2 linked regions of the Styela clava genome follow. The protein of the gene in region 2 purifies or fractionates together with the protein of the main gene of each other region. This does not show direct contact. Links are inferred from orthologs where the notes say so. Each region holds a gene or a part of one and is shown on either strand. Other genes may lie near its edges.

What was found.
Region 1: the proteins of methylosome subunit pICln-like (region 2) and H/ACA ribonucleoprotein complex subunit 1-like purify together in Homo sapiens (affinity purification with mass spectrometry; 3 studies listed by BioGRID and IntAct, counting the BioPlex papers as one, with this or other methods). This does not show direct contact. The link is inferred for Styela clava from reciprocal best matches to the Homo sapiens genes CLNS1A and GAR1.

Annotation. Positions count from the first base shown.
Region 1 is NC_135253.1:15,137,296-15,140,613, forward strand, and holds H/ACA ribonucleoprotein complex subunit 1-like, read right to left. Parts: upstream 1,721-3,318; 5' UTR 1,667-1,720; coding exon 1,073-1,666; 3' UTR 538-1,072; downstream 1-537. UniProt on the Homo sapiens protein: Required for ribosome biogenesis and telomere maintenance. Part of the H/ACA small nucleolar ribonucleoprotein (H/ACA snoRNP) complex, which catalyzes pseudouridylation of rRNA.
Region 2 is NC_135259.1:18,960,154-18,964,090, forward strand, and holds methylosome subunit pICln-like, read right to left. Parts: upstream 2,743-3,937; coding exon 2,542-2,742; intron 1,690-2,541; coding exon 1,090-1,689; 3' UTR 27-1,089; downstream 1-26. UniProt on the Homo sapiens protein: Involved in both the assembly of spliceosomal snRNPs and the methylation of Sm proteins.

The sequences.
Region 1 (3,318 bases), on a different chromosome or scaffold from region 2:
TTTCTCATTTTCACTCGTAGCTAGACTTGTGACCCAGGGGTGGTAACACTGGCTATATATAATATTGATAAAATGAGTTCAGGGATATGAGAGCAAACAATGATTATTGGCGATACATATAAGTTCGATAACACCATTGTATTAGTTTGGTGGATCACGGCAGCAATCTACAATATGTTACTTTCTTAAGAAGCATGAACCTGATTTTTGACGCAACAAAGCCTGAATAGCATCTAGAAAGAGTAAAACAACTTCTGAATATGGAGGCAGATATCTGCAGCCGAAGTAATCCATTCTCCCAAAACTAGCTTTACAGCACAATTTATTATCAGTTACCTGATAAGCAGCATCGTTAATTGATTACTTTAACTTATAGTTGGTGGGAAAAAATGTTAATTGGGTAATTTGGCTTGAAAATTAATTATTACCCTTATAGTATGATTCAGTCTTATTTTTTCGAATTCAGCGATTCGTTCTGACTGCAATACTATCATCTATAATGCCAGACTTTTTCCCATAATCAATAACACCACTATATACACAATCAATAAGAGAAAAATTTATTGACATAATGTTAAAAATGGCAGTTTCACATTTGAACTGAAAAAATTTGATATTTACCTAAAAAGGTACTTTCCATATATCCAAGCAGAACGGAAAACCATTAGTTCAATTTATTATTTGTGCCTATGCATGATTTTGTTCAAGACTCAATAACCGTGATATCAATGAATAACTCTTATTATGATTTAGAAATAGAAGTCGCATTACCCATATATTCAGCATATCAAAAAAAATCTAGAAGCATGTTCCACCATTATCCAAATATGCTTAAAACAGACAACTAATAACAAAAGTTTCCCCAAATAATTGGCTGATATGACTTTTGCATTTGTACAAATACGTAAATTTGATGAGAAAATGCAGTTCGGTCAATACATTATAGAAAAAAAATATTTCAATGTTCTTGTATGATTGAATTTATGAATGCAAAAATAGGAATAAAGCCTTTTGTTCTGGCAATTCACCATTTCAGTGCAATGATTAAAAAATTTCCACACTGATGGAGAGATCACCTTCTACCCCGAAAACCACCACGACCACCCCTAAATCCCCCACCTCGGCCACCCCTGAAGCCTCCACCACCCCGGCCTCCTCTGAAACCACCACCACCTCGGCCCCCTCGAAATCCTCCGCCACGGCCACCCCCCCTTCCACGTCCACCACCTCTTCCTCTACCACCCTTTTGCACAGACCCGGGAGGTTTTGGTAAAAATCTCTGAAGCGGAAGCAACTTCATTGGATCAATGTAAAACTTTGATTCTTTAGAAAAAGAGTTCGCTTTCATATTATCCGCTAGTTTGACGGAGAAACAAAAGTCGCGAATTGGTCCAAATATTTCATCAACTTTTCCGATTCTTGACTTATTTTCCAAGTAAACTGGTGCATTAAAGTATGGTATTTTTTCATTCGTACATTTGCATACAAGTTCATCTTGACAAGTGTGCATCAATTTACCAAGTTCAACGACACATTCTGGTGGTTCGTCTGAATATCTGTTGAAATTTCCTCCACCTCGACCACCTCCTCGTCCTCCGCCACGAAATCCTCCTCTTCCACGATTGTTGAATCCACCTCCACCACGTCCCCGACCACGAAAAGACATCTTCAGCTCAAAAAGCTATGTGAAAAAATTTAGGTGTACGCTGGATGAAAAGATTGGAAATTTATATATGTTAGAAATAATGTGAAAGATAAGCAAGATAATAATAATTATCTAATCATCATCCAATTTATCAATTACATAGTGACCAATTTGATTCATTCCTCGAAGTTTTATTTACATCAACATGAAGCATAAGCCCGCAATTCCAAATTGAATGATTATCAAACAAGAAAGAATTGCTAGCCATTTGACGGACATTTTATCTAAATTTTAGAACGAATATTAAAAGATGATTTTCATTAATGATTTGAGCGCTCCCGTAGTATGAGCACCAAGATGGCAGACAGCAGAACGTAGTAACTACAGGTTAGGTTTAGGGCATAATTTTATTCCAATTATCCTTATTTTAGTTCTATTACAGTATTACGAGTTTGGGAACTAGCCAAATCACTCCCATAGTATTTGCACCTGAAATTATAGCCTAACCTGGTGCACATACTACGGGGGTACCATGGTTTGTCTTCTCAATCTACTGTCCTCATGTACATACTAGTGTCATGTCTGCGAAAGTGACAGACATGATAGGCCTAGACTATTTTTGTTTTTTAGGTTATTCAGTTATTAGATTGAGCTGTGAGGTCGTCGAAGCAACTCGAAAAGTTGACCAGCCTAGAGCATGCTAATAGTAGTAGTAGTAGTATTTTATTTCGTCAACAATGTCAAAATCAAAATACAACATACAACATTTCAAAATTAATTTCCAAGGCATTGTGACGAGGCTGTGACGAAGCGACCGTTAGGTCATCGAGTCAGTCACAGCCTTTAAAAAAATATAAAATTACCATTTTTTAAACGAAATTGAGCTGAAGTAGCATACACCGAAAATAAATTAACAAAACTAACAGAGAGGAAAACAAAAGAAAAAACAAAACTCAATTGAATATGTTTAAACCATATCCAAATAAAGATATGACATTACTGACAATTTGACTGACTAAAAGCTGTTGACTTATACTCAAATATTATTTTATAGAAATCTTTTTTTTTCACAATGCAAAAAATTTCTTCAGCCGGCAAAACTGTATTAAGTCATCCGTAACAAAACACGTGCGAATTGGAGAGTGGTGACTGGAGTCTGACGTCTCATTGCCAAACGTGATCTCCAACGCGTCAAAATGATCATCTTTCTGCAGTTTGTAATGCAAAAATACATTTTTATGGCGTACGTAAAGATTGTTCTTTATAAGTTTTGCTGAAACAGTTTCTGTCTACCTCGTATAAACTAAAATTCCTCTTGTATATTGAACGTCAATATATACAGTACTAAATACAACGATCGCAGTCCGGATGATGCTTTGTTACTTATCGACAAGTATGTTGATAGGTATGTCTGTTTGTTTGTTTGTCTGTCTGGTAGATACACGCGATATCTCCCAGATAGAGAGGGTTGTTAGCATAGAAGTCATATTGGGGGTGTCAAAATAGGGCTGACTCCCGAATGTCTTGTCATAATAAGAATTTTTCTTTTTTTAGGGGTCGGTCGACGTAGTTGACCTTGCAGTCTTGCCCTCCCCCTCCCGAATATATTGTATAATTGTTCTTTTTCATTTATTGTAATTTTACATTTTTTGATATATTCGGGAAATAAATCA
Region 2 (3,937 bases):
CACTGTGAGTGACACGACATGCAGTGGAAAAAGTTTATTGCTTAGAAAAGAATATAATAAAGGTAAATGAGATGGGAAAGGAATATATCAGTCTTGTTCATTTTATTACATGCCGAAAGTACACATTGTACAAACATAATTAAGAACAAAAATGCATTTCAGTGTGAAGGGAGACGTGATAAACATGCGGATCACGATTAAGCAATTAAAAACATCAGGTGTTGTTTCAATCACAAAGATTGCTGAGTTGTTTGATATTTTAGATTTTGATTGATATATTTGAATCAGAGTGTTAAACTAGGTGTTTGCAACCTTTATTAATACAGGAGGGTTAAATTGATATACGATTGAAATATAGTAATGTGAACACATTCAATTCAAAAAGCCTATGTGCACTATTTACTTTAAAATTGAGTCCTTATAGATATGTGTAGAAGTATGGGGTGTCCATCAAGTTTTAAAGACTTTCGAAGTTGGAAGGGAATTTATCAATACCACATATTGTTCCGGCCCATGTATTATTAAATGAAGTAAAAATACTTGAAAATTGACTGATAAAAAAAAACAACAAACCTGGTTAAGAACTGACTTCATACCAAAATTAAAATTGTAAAGGGACTCCATGAACATCCATAAAGAGTGGAGTCGTGAAGAGGTAAATTTTAACTTCGAAATTTGTGAAAAAAGTAAATGAGAGAACAAAGGTTTAATTAATAAAACCCCTGTCTTAATTGAACCAAGTAACAAATAAGATATGCAATTGTTCTCAACTCAGTCTTGGTGGTAATAACCTAAGCTGCAGAGTAGGAGGTCAGAGCTTGGGATGTTTTCCCTGTAATTTTACCCACTCAATGACGATGATAAGTCAAATTTTTCCATTAAAATCCAAGAGTATTAGGTCTATTGAGTATCTATTGGAGGAGACTTGCATAATACCAATTAATATTAATTTTTCTCCAAGTTAGAAACTGGAGTCAAAATTATTTACAATCTTAGAGAAAATTGTTATTTTTTCAACCCGCAGCGTTGATTGTAAACTTTTCCTGCTCCGCAACCACGACAGACATCAGAAACCTGGCATTGAGCAGATCAATGAGTGTCTTCGGCATCATCAAATTGTCCTTCCACTGAAGGAAGAATAGGGGCACCTTGCTGCGGGTTGTCATCGACAACAGGGGGCCTTCCTACCACAGGAGGCTCATCAGTGTTCATGGGGCCCTCCTCCTCAATCTGAACCCCTTCCATTTGGGAAATCCCCTCAGGTTCAGAAATTTGTGAATCTGCTAACATATTCTCTAGTCTTGCTAATGTTGCTTGCCCTGCAGGCGTTAAATGTTGTAAGCCTTCTTCAGAAGTATAAAATCCTTCCCCCGCACCGCCATTGTAAACAGTAGGGGGGTACATAGCCCCTTCATAGTTTTGCTCCTCACTGTCACCATCTCCTCCATAATAGTCATCGCTATCCTCACTGTCCGGATGGAGACATTGGCAGTCGCTCATTGCATCGAACATTCGTTTTAAATTGTCTTTACATACTGGTATAAATCTGATCTCTGATATTGTACCACTTGTGTCAGCAGCAAACTCGTTATCTGCACAATCGTACTCTTCTGTCTGTCCGTTGCCATTGACAACCGGTTCACAAATCTCACCATTGAACATTACGTAAAGACATTCTTCAGGAAATGCCTGGAAAATCACAAGATTATACACTGAATAAATTATATCTAAAACCATAACCTTCAAGGTATGGAAAATACAGGGTGTTAAAAAAGATTTTTCGGCATGGCAGCGTTAAAAAAGTAACTGTTAAAAAGCATCAGACGTGAAATGTTTAAATGGCATTTCACCATAATTCAATACTTTTGAAAGATATCAGTCGTTAAACGTACCAAGTAGCATTTCATCCAAACTTCTGTTTATTTTGCGTTACTTTTTTAACACCCAGTAGTATGATGGCAGAAATGTACAAAGCCAAATTATAACATGATTACATTACACCTGAAAGACGAATTCCGCAAATTGTATTGATTAGTAGTCCTGTTTCACAGAGTTCGTAGCTGAAGCCTAAGGTCTAAATTTTTATTAACCCAGAGTCGCATTTAATCTAGAATCGACTAGTCACTGGCAATTGTGGATTTCTCAGACGCCGCAGTCTTGGTTGTCATAAACCGTGCCAAACCTTATATCTGATCAACTAGTTGTCTGTGGACTTTCTCACAGCCAAGGTATAAAATATTCTAAAGATATGACAGCTATTATACAGTCAGTCAGTAGTTTATTTTATCACATGTCGAAAGTACACATTGTACATTATAACTATGACAGATAAAAAAATGAATTTCAGTATGCAGGGAGCACAATAACCAGTGATGGTTATCAAGCACCGTCACCTATAAGGAATTCAGACTCTGAAGATACATTTAGGTGACCCATTACCCCAGTGTCACTCTTGTTAATGGAAGAAAACAACTCTAGACAGGCAGGCGGGGTAACCATGGCAACCACAGTTCATTGAATACCAAGCGTACAACTGAATACCTGTAAATCTTTAGAGACGGCATGTATTGCGATATCTTTATAACCGAGTGACAGTCCACGATGCTCCTGATTCTCCCAGATCAATCTTTCTTCTGAAATATACAACGTTCCACTTCCTCTGTCATCAGAGTTTATGTTGATTCTGCAATTTTGTTCCGTATGTTGAATTCCTGTATCAGGCGTGACAACTCGAGGCAACATTTTGTATCTGGCATAAACTATGATTCAAATAATAGATTTTATTCAAAATACATTATACCACGATTCTCATCAAAGTTTTTTGCTACTAGGAGAGGTTTTTATAACATTTTATACTGGGGGCGGGTGGAAAGTGAAAAAGGGCTTAATCATATGGCAAAGCAAACTCGCTCATCTAGTTATCATTTCAGGCCGGGTATGAAAATAATTAACTAGATTTTCTTCCAGATGCATGGACTTGACCAAGATCACAAATGCATTTAGTAGAATACAAGCAATTAGCACAGGGTACACCAGCAAAGCATAACATCAGCTTTATTAAAGGATAGTATAAATGTCAAACAGTCCATGCAACATGCAATGGCATTTTTATAGAATATTTCTCCATGCAATCCAACATATAATTATAGAAAAAGTACAAAAAATTTTCCAACTCATTAAAAATGACTATTAGGCATTAGATACAACTGCATTAAAAAAATAAATTATAGCAAGGTTCAAATGATTGCATTACACACACACAAGTAGAAGGAAAATATTTCATTAATACTAAATGAAACTAGCTCAAGTTACATCCCCTAAAAATTTCAAACAATTTGTACTTGAGTGACGATAATAAATCACATATTATAACAAGGAAATAGACCTAAAATTCCTGAACAAGGACTCTTAAAAGATATTAATTTGAATGGGAGTCTTTAGTGTCAACAGGATTTTTTTTGTATCCTGGATAATGCGGAGACAACATGAAATCCACACCAGTGGAAAAGGATATCTGGTCTATCAACCAGGAAAATGTGTTTGATATATTTACTTGGCTAATTGCTTTTTAGAGTTTGATCCACTCTTGAGGTGATCCTATAGTCTTAGTGTAATCACTGTGTTTTATCGAAAATAAGACCTAGCCTGATTTTAAAAAATTTACATTTTGAAATTTTATTATAAGCCCTCCCCTTATTGATAAATGAAAAATACCAAAACCACCAAAAATAAGCCCAAGTGTTAATTTTGGAGGAAAATTGAAATACGCCCCTGTCTTCTTATTTCCAGGAAAACACTGTATGTACAGACACTAATCGCCTGTAGTACAATGAGATTTCAATGTGCATTTACAAGCCAAAAAGCAATATATAAGGGTGCTATTAGAACTTCAGTTTAGGAACTATCTCTATGACAGTGATTCCCAGAAGGTGGAGCG